Linked DNA regions of Daphnia pulex. The main gene of each other region encodes a partner of the protein of the gene in region 2 in a complex. Links are inferred from orthologs where the notes say so. Each region holds a gene or a part of one and is shown on either strand. Other genes may lie near its edges.

Region 1 (5,107 bases), on a different chromosome or scaffold from region 2:
GATTTAAATATTGTCTCCGTATTAATTACAATAAATTGTGACAAATGTTTCTTTATTTCATGTCTGCAGGGCTAATCCACGTCGCTTTAATTTTGACAGTATCGGAAATGCAATGCTGGCCTTATTTGAAGTTTTATCATTTAAAGGCTGGCTCGACATTCGAGACGTTCTCATTAAAACTCTGGGGCCGGTACTTTTCAAATTTTTAATTTCAATTATGCGGGTGTTGATTGAAATTTATTTTTTGTTAGGTCCACGCTATTTATATCCACATTTTCGTCTTTCTGGGCTGCATGATCGGTCTCACTTTATTCGTGGGCGTCGTCATTGCAAATTATTCCGAGAATAAAGGAACTGCGCTCTTGACGGTCGATCAGCGACGTTGGTAAGTTGCAATCAACTTTTCAACCATTCGTGTCCGGAATCGTAGTTATCAAACTAATCTGATCCAATGTAATAGGTGTGACTTGAAGAAACGATTGAAAATCGCTCAGCCTTTGCATCTTCCGCCACGCCCGGAAGGCCACAGATTCCGTGCGTTTATTTACGATATCACTCAGCATATCTACTTTAAAAGATTCATCGCTTTGATGGTCATACTCAATAGTAGCCTCCTCTGCGTCTCGGTAAGTAGATACCTACGATATTGTCTTTTTAAATTACGTTGTAATTTGAGATTTATCTTTTTTTCATCTAGTGGCGCGAGGATCAAGCACACACTTCTTTGTTGGCCACTATCAGCTCCTGTTTGAGCTTCGTTTTTGTGGCCGAAGTGTCGATGAAGATGATCGCTTTCACTCCTCACGGCTATTGGCAGTCCCGGCGCAATCGCTACGATACTTTGGTCACCGTCATGGGTCTCGTCTGGGCAATAACCAACTACACTATGGGCGTAATAGCGTCATCTCACTTTCCTATGCCCAGTATTACTGATTCAATCTTTTTTTTTTTCCTTTCATATTAGAACGATTTATCCCATTCGTTCGGTTTCGTCGCCATCATCCTGCGCTTCTTCACCATCACGGGCAAACACGCCACGTTGAAAATGCTGATGCTCACCGTGGTCGTCTCCGTCTACAAGAGCTTTTTCATTATTATGGGTACCTATAATACCTCGTACAATCTACATCTCTTAGCACACAATTTTATACCGATGTCGTTTATTTCTTTCCGTCGAATGCAGGCATGTTCTTGCTCATCTTCGTTTATGCCCTGACCGGCTGTCTGCTCTTCGGTACGGTCAAATACGGCGAAAGTGTTGGAAGGTATTAATTATTGGCATAAAGTTATTATTCTTATGAGAATTATTTCATCTTCTTTTATGTCTGTAAAGGCAAGCCAACTTTGGCAGCACGCCTAGGGGCATCATCATGCTGTTCCGTATTGTGACGGGAGAGGATTGGTACAAAATCATGCACGACTGCATGGTGTTGCCGCCGTTTTGCACACCGGGCGCCAATTATTGGGAAACGGATTGCGGCAATTTCACGGCTGCCATGATCTTTTTCTGCTCCTTTTACGTTATCATCACGTACATCGTTCTCAACCTTCTTGTCGGTACGGGGTTTGATATACCAAGTGCATCCTCCGATAACTAAAACCTATTCTTTTTCTGGGTTAGCGATTATTATGGAGAACTTTTCCCTCTTCTATTCCAACGAAGAGGACGCCCTTCTCTCCTACGCCGACATCCGCAATTTCCAAAATACGTGGAACATTGTGGACGTCAACCAGCGCGGTGTTATTCCCGTACGGAAAGTCAAATTTGTCCTGCGTCTACTCAAAGGCCGTCTCGAAGTCGATCCTCAAAAGGATCGGTAGGCGATTTAATATAATTCCATCAAATAATTTTGACAACGAATGTTTCACTTCAACTTGTAACATTAATTTTTAGGCTCCTTTTCAAGCACATGTGCTTCGAGTTAGAACGACTACACAACGGAGAAGATGTCACCTTCCACGACGTTCTGAAGTAAAACAATTCAAATTAGAAACCTATTTCTGTTACGTATATTTAATCAACGCTATATTTTAATTGTTAATGTAGCATGCTGTCGTATCGTTCGGTGGACATCCGCAAGTCGCTGCAACTGGAAGAGCTTTTGGCCCGTGAAGAGCTTGAGTACATCATCGAAGAAGAAGTGGCCAAGCAAACCATTCGCCAGTGGCTGGATTCGTGCTTGAAACGAATGAAGACTGTGAATATTCACGACACCGTTTGTTCTCCCCCTATTTTTTTGTTGTTTTTTTGGTGTCTTTCCCTTCCCCTGACGTTACGCAATTTAGTGATTCATTTGTTCATCTTACAGAAGGAGCACAATAGCTTATTGGCCGGTTTGCGGGCTACCAACGACCAACTTCAAGAGGCCCAGGAAGAAAAAAACCGGGAATTCAACGCTGGAGGTGCCGAAAGAGATATTTCTGAAGTGAAGGTGTGATCAATTGCGTTATATACATAATTCTGGCGGTACTAAATTGAAACTGGGCATTGCAGGAGGCGGAAGGAAGTGGCAAACATCGTCGGAAGGGTATGCTGGTCACACGCTCTGACAGCATCAACAGCGTCAGCGGTCGACGCTTGTTTTACGCTCCTTGCCACGGCGCCGATGGAATCTCCCAGCAACGATCCACCTACGACAAGGAAAGGCTGGGCGTTTCATCCAATCCGAAGAAGAGGCCATCACGTCAAAGTAATTAAAGTCTTATGTTTACAGGACCCGTGAATAGATTGCTGTAATCGGGATACTTTTTCATTCAACAGGTACCGGAAAAGGGATTCCTTCTTCCAGTTTTTCGCACTCGGCGGGCGAGTGTAGTCCTGGTGCCAGTCCAACTTGGTGAGACGTTATTTTTATTGATTTAAATCGTGAACATTTAAATGACTGGCTTTTTGAATTTGTCTAGTCCAACAACAGGTGGCCAGCACGGCCTTGTCTTCCCGTACTCGAGCATTGGTGGCGGTGCTTCTTCCAACTGGTCAAGCCGCGGCTCTGGCCATCCGCTTCCGCCGTTGGCACCACCCAGTGCTTTGGCCGTTCGCGTGGCATCGGCCGTTACTGAGGTTCAGGACTGGTGGCGGGATCAACTCGCCTCTCCCGACGGTTCCGATGAAGATTAATTAATACGTCAACCCACACACAAAAACCAAATATCTTCCTTTTGCGAAAAGCACAATTCTAGTGAACAATTTAATTCGACAAATAATGAAGCATAACAAACCACATAGTTATATATAGTCGGACATCTGTGCCAAGTCAAAGTTTATTGTTTAGATCTAAAAATGTTGTCTCAAATTACTTGGTACGACGTAAACGTGCCAGTTACCACCCCACAATCTCTTTTAGCAACCAAACATTCTCGTTTAAAGTTTCCTATTTGAGTTTCCAATGAAAAAAGGATCGATTTAAAAATATCCTGATTCATACATGACGAAGATACGTACAAGTTATTCGCACATTCGATTTCTAGTATATCGCTGTTACGAGGAAACACGGGTGGAGCATCTTGCGGCCCTTGGATGGAGTACACAGTGTTCCTCTGGATTCTAATTAATACAACTATTTAAAACATTTGAGCCTTTTCCTATTCTATAATAGTGTCAAGAGTTTATTCACTAAATTTTATTAGAATATTGAAAACAACATCTTTTTATTTCTTTTGTGCGTAGGGTAGAAAAAAAATTTGATTCTAATTTTTCAGGATCCGGGAAGACTGGAAGAGCATGAATAAATGCATAACTGTTTTAAAAGAAACTGAAGCAGCAATGTATATTTCTATGACTCAGAAAAAGCACGCGTCGAGAAAACTTTAATACTCAAGGATTATTATCATAAAGAGTTGGTTCTGTTAAAGGCCAGAGTAGGAAATACCACCCCAATAGCCCAACGACAAAAGCTGAAGCCAACACAATCCTTTTCCAACCGTTCAGTCGGCCAATCTCACCGAAATCGGGGAAACCCATCACGTTACAGAATGCGTGCGCAACACACGGAGCGGCAACATTACCCGTTCGAATAAATAAAAATGCGGCGTACATTCCGAAAAGGGTGGTGTAAGCAAACTGAAAACCTGAGAATAACGGAAATGCATTAGACAAACTCACCTTCATTGATTTACTAAATGTATAAATTTGTTTTATTACATGATAGTAGTAGAGACTGAGCTAAAGGCATTCCTTGCCGCCAACGCTCGACCATATGATGAAAATGCCCTAAAAGTAGAATATTTGTATATTTCTAAAAGGAAAAATAACATAATAATTATGAATCTTACCGACTCCAAAAAACAGCGGACTGACTAGGACTGCTTGTGAATTTGAATAGCACTTGAGAAGCTGGGGAAGCATGCACGCTCGAAACGTAAATTCCTCTGAGATCGGTGCAACAATTTGGTTGCGGATCCACAATATATCATGCAGGTTATTTTTCCAGCATTCTGCACCTATAATTAAGATAAGTTTGATTTAATTCTATTTACTTATAATATTTGAAATAAAAAAACTCAACTGAATAAGTCTTTCCATGACCCATCAAAGAATGAACTGGTGATTGGCCCTAAAAAGAGGACACTCGTCAAAATCACTGGTACTGAGATGGCTAATAATAAGCCATTCCACCTTAACCCCAATAAAGTAAGAAGATCAATTGATTCCTAAGAAAATCATTACAAACACAATTCATTATTTACGTTTTGAATGTTATTAAAGGAAAAATACTTACTTGGGGCTTCATGTATTTTAATGTGATGTACACAATCACTGGAGCTACAAATAGCATGCAGAATGCACTGATGAATCTACGAATCACCGTTTTGGGGTGATTTCTAAAGTAAGCCAATAAATAATTTATGGTTTCTTTCTAAGAATTATACTGACTATACTACCGATCTTCATTTGATTTCCAAATATAGAGGCTCCCAACATAGACAGAAGCTAGGAAAAAGCAGGATAAGTTTGCCGTCATAAAACAGGTTTCGTCCATGATGATGTAATGGGCCGGTTTTGCCGTTTTTACCGTCAGCAACTAACAGTTAATCATCATAAGTAATTTTGATGGCCTGTTAAGGTAATTTAAATTGTTGTTTTGAATAAGAAACAAAAATGTACGGT
Region 2 (6,152 bases):
CTTGGTGCAACACTGCTTGGCGTTTATACTGAATTGAATGCGGCAGCAGCAGCCGCATGTTTGGAAACATTTTGTCAAAACGAAAACCGACACCGGGTCTTATTCATCAAGCAGATGTGCGGATTCTAGGAAATTCCCACGATTTGATGTATTTGATGACGAATGTTGCACCGTATGCACACACACAGAGTGTGTGTAAAGTTTGTATAAAGAAAAGAATTGTTAAACAGATTAAATCCTTTTGAAAATGATGTGTATTTAATCAAGACTCGTGTAAATCATATGAGAATTTGAATGCGAGGATTTTTTGGATCGACATTTCAGTGTCGGCGGATGAATGAGTGCAAATCCACCGGGACTTGACCGTCCTCGAACGGGATTCGGTTTTTGCGCACGACTTGGGCGGCCAGACATGTCAGCGGTAAAACATTGTTGTTCAGCAGGGATCGAAGTTTGACATCGGGTAATCCTTGAAGGCAGAGCTGCCTGTGTTTAGCTTTCAATATCCCCAAAGCTCTTCTTCCGGATCGGTTGGGCTGGTCGATATGGGCTCCAAAATCCAGCAGCTTTTGAACGGCGTCCGTGATTGTGGGCGACCAGACTTGGTAGTTAATCATGGCCAGCAAGTGAAGCGGAGTATTCCCTTTGGCACTGACGGAATTGGCATCCGCTCCCAGATCGAGCAGCAACTGGATTAGATCAAGGGAAATCGGAGCCCGGCGACAAGCCACGTGAAGAATGTCGCCCTGGTCGAAGTAATTGAACTTGTGATTCGTGCCAATGAAATGGTAAAGAGCTTTCTTGAATCGGTGGCCGTCCTCTTGGCTCAACTTGGGCAGCATCTCGGTTAAATTCAGGACAATATCGTACAAGCAAGTGTCCAGCCGGCCCTTGGCAGCTGGCGCTAATTCCCTCCGCATCTCTTGACGATTAACAACGACAGCAAAGTCAAAGGCCGCCATTAGATTATCGAAAGTAAAGTCTTCCAGACCCTGTTGGCTGAGCGGTGGCATTTTGTTTAACCTCTTGAAGCTGTCGTTCATGATGTCCAGTGCTCCGATGATCGAAAAGTTGATATCCCAACAGTCACTCGGCTGTTGTCGGAATGGCTCCAGCATGAGCATCAAAATGTTGACGACCCGGCTGTACTGGCCGGCATCGTAGAACTCGTAAGCGTACGTGTAGAGTCTGTACAGAGTGAAGGAATGGGGCTCCGGAATCAATTGACCCATAATACGCTGGATAGCCCAAATAGCTTGAGTAAAGAGCTGGATGTTGTTGTTGGCGTTGTCGAGTTGCTCCAGTTCTTGCGGAGTTGTTATTTCAAAAGAGAAGCCCATGGCCTTGCGAGAAATGTCGGACGTTTGCGGAAGAATTTTGGGTATTGGCGGCTCGACGCTCGAAGGATGACGTAGATTCATAGCTTCTCTCCAGTACTGCAGTCCACGCCGTCGGGTTGTTTGATTGTTGTTTCTGGGATGTACGAGATCGTGATGAATGTAAGCGGCCCCCAATAGCTCCAAGACATTAATCTTCTCCTGGCTCGGCTGCAAACTCGCGAGGATCTCATTGATTCCGGCTCTTTCGTCGACCAAGTTGAGATGCTGGTACTCGAGCATGTATTTGAAGATGTAAAAATCGGCGCAAATGATGGCCATAAACAATGGCGGGACGTCCAGGTATTCAACGCCGTTCCAGGTAAAGTTACCAATCCGACAGCTGTCGACTTTCAAATCATCCATCAGGTATTGGACGAGAGCAAGGTCCCTGCGTCGGATGGCCACTACGAGAGCCGTTTCTCCGCGTTCATTGTGCGATTCGACCAGCCAGGCTTTGACTTCCGGTTCCACATTGCCGAGCGTGAGTTGCAAGGCAGACAAACATCCGTTTTCCAATGTTTCGAAAAAGACTGCGCGATGCTGAGCAAACGGATCTACTGGTATTGGCTCTTCCGGTGTTGGAGGCAGCTCGAGTGCTGGCGTCGACGAGTGAAACCTCTTGTTTGGAAATGATTCCGGCTCCAGCGATGGTGTTGACAATGATGGAAGATCATCTGCCTGGGAGTTTGGCCAAACTCTACGCCAAATACGCCTCCACCCAGTGGCGAAACGAATCAACATACGTCGCCAAATCGGTCGAATGACACGTCCAACAGTGTCGTAAAAAGCTTCCAACATTTTTATTAGCTTCAAGTAAGTTGTTAAATATCCAAAGATATCGTTATGCAATTCTAATGTCATTCGTGATCCTATTTATGTGCTGCAAATGCATTTCTCACGTTGGCATCGGCGAATTTCCATCATTCATCGATTAGTTACATAATGAAGCTTAGTCTAATTAAAATAATTCCTTTTGAGACGTCTTCGCATGATTTTATCGCATTATTGTCAAAAGGAATAAATAACGTCGGAGCGGATTATTGATTTCTTTTCTTTTGTTTTCAAATCTCAGCGGTGGCCGAGCTGCTCAGATTTTATCGTGAGATTGGAGTTGGTGCGCGTGTCGGCCGATAGGGGGCCAGCAATTCAGTCTTAACTTGGACTGAGCGCCAAGAACTCGATCCGTCAAACATTGGCGAAGTATTTCCTGTGCTCGTGTTCCTGATTTATGGTCGAATGACACATTGAAAAGTTTATTTACTCACTTCCTGATACCTTTCTTTTTATGCTACTCTTTTCTGAACAAACGATCATCGAAAGTTCAGAGCCATCTTTGAGCTCCTTCAGACCTCTCCACCAAAACGTGAAATGTGCTCGTTTCTCGACGTGAAGTTTTCATCTCTGGTCGGGCAGGTAATGGTTATTTTCTTTTTAGATCAACTTGAGTTGAAATCTATTGATTTTTGGCCAGGAAATTCCTTTTCCTGAGGACTTTGGTACAAAGTGAATTAGCCCCACGATGAATCTTGTTTGTGGAAGCAGAATAATGAAGGATTGAACAATAAGGATCAATTAGGTACTGATTAAACATTAATGAGAGATTGCAGAACATGCCATATGCTTTATTTTCATTTGTTGTTGCAGGGGGACACATGCCGGTGGCAGTGCCCATTTCGTCAACATAAATTGCAACTGATGTAGTGTGCATTGTCTGGATGCATTCTGTAAGCCAATAATTTGATCAGCAGAGTCGGCCTATATTCGATTGTTTCGAATTCCGGGACAACTGCTGACCCGTGCTGGCTGGCGGGATCGAGTTTCACCCATCTCGAATTGATCGGGAAACCCTTGGCTGGAGAGAGAAAGAGATGTTGTGTGTAGGACGGTGTGCCCAGGCAGCCAACCAGCAGCAGGGCCCAGCCTAGGAAAAAGAGAACGAGAGAGATAGAGAAGAACTGCCGAGCTTTTGGCTGTAGCTTCCTTTTGAATCCGCTGTCGAACGGCAGCAATAGAGGCGCATGAGCGGAAGATTGCAAGGACGTGATGCTGTAAGTCCTCCTCCTCCTCCTCCACGAGCCGTGTTGTGGTTCGGGAGACGTAAAGGGATCCTGCTTCATCCAAGTCGCATCAAACACCTTCTCTCTCTTTCCCTCTCTGTCACACACTCCCCACACCATTCCTCTCTCATGGATTAACTCAGGTGAGCAGTTCACTTTCAAAAGAATAAAGAAACGAAAGGGGGGGGGGTGACAAATCAACAACAGCACGAACATGTGATTTGTTGCATTCACGCAGATTAGCAGTCACGATCCCAGTCAACCCTCCCATCTCTCTCTCTCTCTGTGTGTCGTGTGTCTGTGAACTGACTTGCTTTTTCTCGTGTCGAGGGGTTTCTCTCGTCGGCTCTTCACACAACTGGCAAGCAAAGCGAAATGTTTTGTTTGTTTATTGATATATGCCGACGACGACGACGTCGTCTATGTGTGTGTGTGTGTTGTTGATTTCCTTCAAACGTGGGGGTGGTGCTGGGCTGGGGGGGCATCTGCATCATCGTCTTGTTTGCTTTTCGAGTGTGTTACATTGATCGCCTCTATATGGTAGTAGAAGTAGTAGGACGAACGACGACGACGACTCTCTTCTGGCGATTTATATTGGATACACCCAGGGGTACCCTAGTACCAATCCAATTTCACTCCTAGTGAGAGAGAGAGAGAGAGCTACGGTCGATCGATAAATTTGTTATCAGTGCAATCTAGTCACGTCAACGAGCTTGTACAATTTGACGATATTTATACCAAGTTTTTTTGGGGGCGTTTTCATTTTATTTTTATTTTTCTTCTTTTTTTCTTTGTGTGTTTGTGTGTGTGTGACGGTGAAATTTTCTGGGGCCCCCTCGATAGTTTCGACGACATTCGTCTGGCTTCCCGACGACGAACTAGGCCATGGATTCCGGCACCAAACAGAAGAAGAAGAATGGAGCTGATCAGCCGGTCTCCGAGGATATCGTCCCTCTACACATCCAGACCTTTCTCTGGAGGCAGACGAGGTACGTACGTACACAAGCACTGTGTATATCCACTATATACTACGAGTACTCTCTTTCTCTTGTCTATTTGAAAATCCTTTTAGAGGCTAGAAAGAAGTTAGATATAGGAGCCGCCGACTATTCTTCATCATTTTCTTTCTAAACCGAATTTTCTCTTTTTCTCTGTCTGTTTTTACAGTTCCTTTCTTCGCCCGAAAATCGGCAAAATGCACGAAGCCAGCTGCATTGTGAGTAATATTGTTTCAACAACTTTTTTGATAATGACACAATGAACCCGGTACTTATAGTCCATCTACACCCGAGCCAAAACTAAAAAAAAAGAAAACAGGAGCCAGGAAAGAGTCTAAACGGGCATATAGGGTCTACTAGTCTATCTACGGAGCGGTGTTTTATGAGGAGTCAAACGACCCAATTGAATTGGAAAGTTTTTCCAGAGTGTAATGGCAAAACGGTGTCACTTGGCAGTCAATCAGCCGCTGGCTGGCTGACTGGGCTGGCCCCCTCTCTCTCTCGTCTTTCTCTCTCTCTTTGCCGGGCTGGCGCGGTCGCCAGGTTCGTTAACGGCCAGTCGATCGAAAGCGATGACGACGGCAGCAATTGATTGTGCGTTTCCCTCCCGTCTCCTTTCCTCATTCAATGCCGCCTCTTTTCCATCCCATCGGAGAAGCTGAGGCGACTTCTTCAAGGAGCTCTCCTCCCTTTTTTTTCTTCCTTCCCTCCTACTCTCCTCTCTCCTCTCTGTGTGTGTCTATCTGGAGGGCATTGTGTGTAGGAGCCGCTCCTCCTTGGCGAAAAGAGGTGGGTAGGGAGAGAGAGAGGAAAGGACAGGAAGGAGAGGCTATTGATTTTCCGTCCGCGGGAGAAAAGAGAAGCTAGGAGCAAGGAAGAAGAGGTCGTCGTCGACGACGACTGGGAGGTGGGTTACCCACCCCACCCCCACAGCACCACCACCCACCCACCCATCTCCTCTATTCCCATCTCGGGAGCCAAAAGAAATGTTTGCCGTTCATCTCTCGCTCAACTCTAGACTAGTACTACTACTAGGACTACAACCAGTGCTCCTACTACTCACTCCTGGCCGGGAGGAAGGGCCATGTCGAGGCCCTACAGCCTTTACACAATATACAAGGAGCTAAGAGCGATGCCAAGTCTCTTTTACTCTTTTTATCTATAGCCAATGACGTTTCAAATGGGTGTGTGTGTTTCTCTCTCTCTACTGCCATATACCCACAGCAAAAAACCATTCACGCTCCAATCGCTCCGCCTGACGTCACCGGTTTCAATTCTATCAAACTTAATCATAATTTGTTTTATTTTTTTCTCTTAAATCCATCAATTTTAATCGACTTCATTCTTTTTCTACAATTCTCTCTGCTCGGTTATTGATTACTATTTTCTCTCGACATTTCATTTGTTCATTTTTTCTATTTCTTTTCTCGTTTTCCGTACGTGAATGTGTGTCCTTATCCTTTTGTACCTGGTTATCCATGGTGACACACAGTTCTGCCAACAGGCGCCAGGCCATCATGTAAGTCATGAGAAATAGCCACCAACAAACGGCTAGTTGTATATAGTAGAGTAGCGTGTAAATCTAGATCTATATTGCGACTGCTGCTGCTGTACATAAAACACAACCAAAATCACAATTTCATCAGCTGCTGACTGTAATACCCCCCGTCCGTCCGTGAGAAAAGAATCAAGTAGCGAGCAGTGCATGTCACTGATTG
Region 3 (5,625 bases), on a different chromosome or scaffold from region 2:
AAATTACTGGACTCGAGTATGAGCCCTTTGGGATTCGATGCCCAACAAATGTTTCGTTTCCTGGCTGTCCGCTTCCGTGGAACTCATCTGCGTGTTCAACAACAAACACTCAACTGGCTCCAGCTTCTCTCCTCGTTGCACATTGTTGTCCCCATCGATCTCCTGGTCAACATTTTCCAGGAGGGAGTCAACACGAGTAAACTGGATACCGACAACGAAATTCCAAATTTCGGTTCGTTTCGCATTTCATTACATTATTAGGTGCATCACAAAACCCTAATTATCCCTTATTATCATTCGAATAGATATGGAGGAAATTCGACCGTTATCTCCGGTATCGAATCAAAGTGTTTCGTCATCCGAGTTGCCTCTGAGTCTTCCGGAGAAGAGCCTGGCCTGTCACGTCCTAATGTTAGACATTTTACTGGAGCAACTGGAAGTCCAAGAGGAGCCTAGTAATGGAGGATTGACGGGAGCACCACTAGCTCAGCATTGCCTCACGCTTTTAAAAGATATGATTCACGTCCGGCAATGCATGCTGCATAATTGCACGTCGGCTGATTGCTACATGTGTAGTCTGTTGACATCGTGGTATCAGCTGGCGCAGGAGTTGATTGCTTTCTACTCGCCACTGCACGCGGCCGTCGTTAGTGAGTGTTTCGAAGAGCTCGAAAATTGCGTGGAGATGGCCGCTGCCCAGTCAGTCCAGCAACAACAGCAACCCAGCCCTGGTGAACAGCAGACAAACAAACCGGAAGAGGCTATATCAACCGTTTATTATCAAGAACAACAACAACAAGTATTACAACTGGGTGAAGTCAGAACGGCCAAGATGGAGACCGTGTCCGAGTTAGATCTGGCACCGATCCTACCATCAGAAAGAGTCCTCAGAGGTATTTAAACTTAAAACATTTTGATTTTTTAAGATATAGTAACTTGATTTTCTTGTTTAGCTGTGGCCAATGCTGTGACTTGCACTGAAATGGAAGTGGCCGGCTGCAAAGCCCAAGTAGCTCAGCCGAGCATGTTGACGGACGTGGATCCTTCAGACCACATGGATCATCCAGACCATCAACAGCCGAATCAACAATATTGGGTGACGACGGCCGGCAAATTTCGATTTGCGCTGGATGAATTGCCGAATCACCTCCAACTCATTTACGGATTCCTGAAAGAGCTCTACCACTTGATCCGACCGGACACTCAGCGACATCTACTCCGCTGCGTCGAAATCCTTTGTCTACACTGCGAGGTGCTCAGTAAATCCGCCTGTCGCGAGCATCCAGGCTTCCTGTTTTGGGTTCAAGAAAACCTCACCGTGGCCCAGCTCTGGAATCTCCTCGAGAGTCAAACATCGCACGTCGCCCAGACGTGTGCCTCTCTCTTGCTGCACTGTCTCACTCTTCCGGGTGGATCGGATGTCTTCTGGAAAATTATGGAATCGGATTTCCACTCGCGCGATTGGAAGACTCGCTTTTCATCCGTGGAGCGGATGATGTTGGTGTGCCAATTTCTGGACGATCCCACCGTCAAACAGAGTTCCATTTTACAGTCGATCCTGACCAACGCCTTTTGTTTCCTCATTTCATCAATGGACGATATCAACACGGCTGTAGCCAACCGGGCAACCATACTCCTCGAGAGCTTGCACGATGGATCGCTTAAACTGCTCGTTTGGTGTATGGAACAGCAGTTTGACAGTTTCATCAGCGACAGACCTCTGTTGTTGCACTCTATTATGGCCCTGCATCATCACCCTTGGCTGACCAAACGCAAGATCATTTCGTGGAAATTCTTTTTCAATCGTTTCGACGCTCTGTATTTGGAAGCCCAGTTGAGCCTACAGCGGGCCGGGGAATTGATTGAACCGCGAGATCTCAAGTCCAGTCACATGTCAAACGAAAGCTTCAACAAGAAATTGCAGAAAGCTCGTGAGGCCATCAAGCGCTACGCTCCTAGCAGGTCTAGTTCGCCGACTCAACAGCAACCGAGGAGCTTGATGCGGTCGTTGAGCCTGTCAACTCATCGCTTCAATCGCCGAAAGTCTACACCCAATCATCACCCACAGCACGGAGTGACCAAGAGTTACAGCCGACAAAGTTCTTCAGCCCAGTTGAAGTTGATGCGATCCAGGGGCGCTCTCGGTGGCGACAGGATGAACAATCAACAAGCGTCTCAAGAAGAAGCCTACGTTGCTCTCTTCATGCAACGTTGCTCGGAACTGGACGACTACGATGGTGAAACCCACTCTTTACTGTTGACTACGCTGATGCAATTCCTGGCGCAGCCAGATCTCGCCCAGTTGAGCGACGATAAGTTCCAATCGCAAATTCAGAACCTGGTCCTTCGACATTTGAGTCTTTTGCTGGGCTACGGACCCACCGAAAGAGCTTTCTGTTTGACACCACAGAAACTCAGAGCATCGGCTCCTTTCAACGCCTTTCTCTCGGCTCTTCCGCAAGTTCTGGATCGTAATTTAGCTATCGGAGCCAATCTTCTGCCCATGACGTTATCTTTGATGATTTTCTGCCCCGCCCCGCCGTCAAAGAACAACGGTCCTGGAGGTAATTCGTGGTTACAATGTCATGGGCAAGCTGGTGTGCCCATCACAACTCACGGATCCATGAGTAGCGTTGGTTTCGCTTCCGGCTCAGCTGCTGCAGCAGCTTCGAATAAGTAAGTTCACCATCCTTTGATCAATTTTGAAATTATTTAATTTCCTTCAATTACTTAGCGTCAACGATCGACACAACGGCACGACTCCACAAAGAGCCTACAAACCGACCTATTCCCTATGGTATTTGGAAACTCATCCTCGACGGATGTGGCTACAAACAGTGTTAGTAATCCTCTACAAGGTTTGTTTATTTACTATGAAAAAGATTGGGCCAACTTTATTAAATATTTCTTCTGCATTGTTGCAGTATCGTTATAACCAACCGAATTTAGCTCCGTTAGTACAGAGCATCATCCGGATCGTTCTTAACACTCTGGAATCTCAATACCATCGCTGTTATCGCTACGGTGGTATTGGGGCCACTTTAAGTCACGGCCATCCATCGACAGCGCAGCATCAACTCCATGGGGTCTCTTCAACTGCAACTATGAGGATGAGAGACCAGAGTCAAGGCTCTTTGGAAGTAGAGACTCCCATTGATCCAACAGATCTAAAAGGTTTTTATTTAAGGATTCAGCGATTTGCTGAACGATTTTTAAATGTTTATGCTTAAAATTGATTTATTTAGGAAGAGCAAATGTCATTGGACACGGTGTAGGAGCTGTTCTTGGCATAGCTGGATTGGTCTGGGGCTCCTCTACAATTCAACATCAAATTCAGCTACAAGTTGCAACGGTAAATCTTATCTCTAATACGTTGATGACGAATTATTTGCTGATTTCTTTTTCCGCTATTACAGAAATCTAACGTCACATTGACGTCCCGACGTGAGTTGACTGGAAGTATCTCTAGTGAATGTGACATCGACGCTGACGTTGATGGCATAGAACTTGAAGTTATACCTGAGAGTCCCAAGAGTAGTCGGCCGGATCCTGATTGGGATCGAGATTCACTTGCTGAAGTCGAGGTAAATATTTTCTACGCCGAGTTTCATCCTTTATGTAATCATTGGGTCTTTTCTATCAATAGGTTCTCTCAGAAATGTCACAGCAAGAACCGAATTCCGCCACTGCAGCGTCAGAAGTATCGCTGGCGGCCTGTGTCCGACAACCATCGGGTGTCTATGAAGCCCATACAATTGTGTCGCACCGTCAGGTCAATGCAGCGGACGCCGCTGCCGCCGCCGCAGCAGCCACAGCGACACCTACGGGAGTCAGAACTCGACAGAGAAAAATGGGCATCTCTATGGGAACCATGGGTCCCGAAATTCCGTTTCTATCCACCGAACAATCAAACCGTCAGCAACAACAGCCTCAGATTGAAACCCCAGCACCTCATCCAGCCCCTGTCAATCACGCAGTACATACGCCCATGAAACAGAGCTGTCTTCGCGTCGGTGACGAAGTGGCGTGTCACCGTTGTTCCAAATGCAACGCACCATTTGAAGAATTCAGCGAAGAAGAACTCGGATTATGTATCGTCATTATATCGACGTTCGTTCATCGCGAGCCTGCTTTGGCTGCTACTATGCTACCAGAAATTCTCCGCTGTAACGCAAAGTACCTCAATTTTTATTTGCTATGAAATTAACATGATGTGAAGCTAAGTTTTAAATTTAAACTTATAGGTGGGCGGGAAGTACGACATATACCTGGCAAATGGGTAGCAATTTGTACGTACCCGGTGAAGTTGGTGCGATTGCTCGCCAATTTCTCCGGTGCCTGTTGCATCAGCTCACACCAAACAAGGTCTTCATCCAATTATTCCAGACTCAAGTGCCTGAAGAGATGAAGCAGTCTTTCTTCAAGACGATGGCATCGGCGTTGACGGATTTCGTTGAACTGACTCCGGCGGCACCGCTCCAGTTGTTGCTCGAGTCACTGAATGAGCAAAAACAGTTGTCGCCAGCCCAGATCGCCATGATGTTGCCCAATGTGGCCTGCTATATCGAGTGTCTTCCGCCGCTCGAATTGAGTGCCCAGATTTGGACCCCTCTATTCGCTCAGCTGGAAATCTTCTGTACGCGACTCATTCTAGTCTTACCGCTGCTGAATGGCAATCCAATTCACAGCAATTCGCTTTTGAGAATTATGGGCAGCACAAACCGTGTGGCAGCACTTCAACTCGCCCCATCTCGTGGCAGCATACTTGATTCTTTCGCCAAGATCCTGCTCTACATCATTCAACATTGGGCTGGCTTTGATTACAAGCATCTCGTGGAACTCTGTCACCTGGCTTTCCGGTCCTTCAACAAGGTAACTTACGATTCCCAATTTTTACGAAATCTTGAAAATGATTGAGTGGATAACTTTACTATTGCAGGATCGGGAGAAGTACATGTTGACAAGGACGCTCGTCGATGAACTAGTGTCGGTAATGAAACTAAAATCAAGTCTTCCAGATTCTACCTTGATCATTTTGGTGCATTTCACCTTGCAAGTGAGTAAAAAAATAACTTGAAACTGTTTTATTCATAGTTATATGTTGGCTTTGCTAATTAGGACGCTGGAGGAACTTTGCCACCCCATTGCCTGTTAATGGATGAAATGGATTGCGGTGCCAACACTGTCAAGTTATCCGGATCGGATGGATCTGTAGGCGCTGGCACCACGGGTGCATTTGACTGCATCCGTCCACACTTTAGCGATATTATGGACTTTTTGGCCGACGTTCATACGCTTAGCAAATTGAAGAGCAATAGCAGGGCTATGAGTCCTGGTCCCGGTTTGGATGAAGATACTCTTGGCGGAACGGTCAAAGCCGGAATGGCCCAACTCTTGGCGTTGGAAGTCGTTCGTGGAAATGGCAAGGATAACAAATGCCTTCAGCGTTACATGCCCTGGTTATTGAACCCGCCATCCTCCATCCAGCAAGGGTACCATTGTTTTAAAAACATATTCTATTTGTAAAATGTGTTGACGAATATCATTTTACAGGCCGCGAGAGTTTCTGGAGTGCGTTTGTCATGTGAGATTGTTGTCTTGGCTCTTACTAGGGGCATTGCAACA

What was found. The genes of interacting proteins can lie anywhere in the genome.
Region 1: the proteins of protein unc-80 homolog (region 2) and sodium leak channel non-selective protein-like are in contact, whole or in part, in a cryo-EM structure (PDB 7SX3), measured with the Homo sapiens proteins. The link is inferred for Daphnia pulex from reciprocal best matches to the Homo sapiens genes UNC80 and NALCN. Residues at the interface, in NP_115893.1 of Homo sapiens: Lys1979, Asn2004, Glu2005, Cys2006, Asp2007, Leu2128, Arg2129, Leu2130, Pro2131, Pro2134, Arg2135, Ile2138, Asp2139, Phe2142, Phe2145, Ser2146, Glu2179, Asp2184, Glu2185, Met2187, Leu2188, Asn2191, Asn2194, Ile2198, Leu2199, Glu2202, Ser2226, Leu2227, Ser2228, Gln2231; in NP_001337678.1 of Homo sapiens: Asn639, Met643, Val644, Ile646, Lys648, Leu649, Pro650, Phe653, Val655, Pro656, Lys657, Ile658, Arg659, Glu660, Phe662, Met663, Lys664, Gln665, Phe666, Ile667, Arg669, Val711, Ser713, Arg715, Ala716, Arg717, Leu719, Lys722, Glu723, Ala725.
Region 3: the proteins of protein unc-80 homolog (region 2) and protein unc-79 homolog are in contact, whole or in part, in a cryo-EM structure (PDB 7W7G), measured with the Mus musculus proteins. The link is inferred for Daphnia pulex from reciprocal best matches to the Homo sapiens genes UNC80 and UNC79. Residues at the interface, in NP_780719.2 of Mus musculus: Gln23, Thr24, Trp27, Ser31, Leu34, Arg35, Pro36, Ala80, Pro83, His84, His87, Ser94, Asn95, Asn180, Ala183, Leu187, Phe190, Leu191, Arg337, Leu340, Gln341, Pro342, His343, Arg1317, Asp1320, Glu1321, Asp1324, His1545, Val1546, Asp1547; in XP_030102533.1 of Mus musculus: Thr120, Tyr123, Ser127, Ala130, Thr131, Leu168, Ser169, Ser172, Met175, Ile176, Gln179, Tyr180, Tyr207, Tyr211, Gly212, Pro213, Ser214, Val390, Cys391, Glu394, Glu402, Phe405, Arg472, Cys541, Asp917, Phe920, Ser965, Glu966, Phe967, Ser968.

The regions. Positions count from the first base shown.
Region 1 is NC_060028.1:1,974,330-1,979,436, forward strand, and holds the end of sodium leak channel non-selective protein-like, read left to right. Parts: intron 1-69; coding exon 70-190; intron 191-251; coding exon 252-385; intron 386-460; coding exon 461-626; intron 627-697; coding exon 698-892; intron 893-964; coding exon 965-1,100; intron 1,101-1,183; coding exon 1,184-1,265; intron 1,266-1,333; coding exon 1,334-1,557; intron 1,558-1,621; coding exon 1,622-1,817; intron 1,818-1,894; coding exon 1,895-1,972; intron 1,973-2,047; coding exon 2,048-2,432; intron 2,433-2,494; coding exon 2,495-2,690; intron 2,691-2,761; coding exon 2,762-2,837; intron 2,838-2,904; coding exon 2,905-3,118; 3' UTR 3,119-3,569; downstream 3,570-5,107. Other genes in the region: CAAX prenyl protease 2-like, read right to left, coding at 3,815-4,068, 4,142-4,210, 4,273-4,440, 4,506-4,650, 4,719-4,821, 4,882-4,979. UniProt on the Homo sapiens protein: Voltage-gated ion channel responsible for the resting Na(+) permeability that controls neuronal excitability. NALCN channel functions as a multi-protein complex, which consists at least of NALCN, NALF1, UNC79 and UNC80.
Region 2 is NC_060024.1:13,415,320-13,421,471, reverse strand, and holds the start of protein unc-80 homolog, read left to right. Parts: upstream 1-2,532; 5' UTR 2,533-2,792; intron 2,793-2,850; 5' UTR 2,851-2,955; intron 2,956-3,023; 5' UTR 3,024-3,427; exon of another isoform or gene 3,428-3,579; intron 3,580-4,279; 5' UTR 4,280-4,321; coding exon 4,322-4,425; intron 4,426-4,603; coding exon 4,604-4,652; intron 4,653-5,926; coding exon 5,927-5,953; intron 5,954-6,152. Other genes in the region: protein fem-1 homolog C-like, read right to left, coding at 321-2,177. UniProt on the Homo sapiens protein: Auxiliary subunit of the NALCN sodium channel complex, a voltage-gated ion channel responsible for the resting Na(+) permeability that controls neuronal excitability.
Region 3 is NC_060021.1:6,772,622-6,778,246, reverse strand, and holds part of protein unc-79 homolog, read left to right. Parts: coding exon 1-232; intron 233-305; coding exon 306-893; intron 894-953; coding exon 954-2,676; intron 2,677-2,734; coding exon 2,735-2,858; intron 2,859-2,924; coding exon 2,925-3,174; intron 3,175-3,245; coding exon 3,246-3,352; intron 3,353-3,416; coding exon 3,417-3,584; intron 3,585-3,646; coding exon 3,647-4,176; intron 4,177-4,244; coding exon 4,245-4,872; intron 4,873-4,939; coding exon 4,940-5,056; intron 5,057-5,118; coding exon 5,119-5,492; intron 5,493-5,553; coding exon 5,554-5,625. UniProt on the Homo sapiens protein: Auxiliary subunit of the NALCN sodium channel complex, a voltage-gated ion channel responsible for the resting Na(+) permeability that controls neuronal excitability.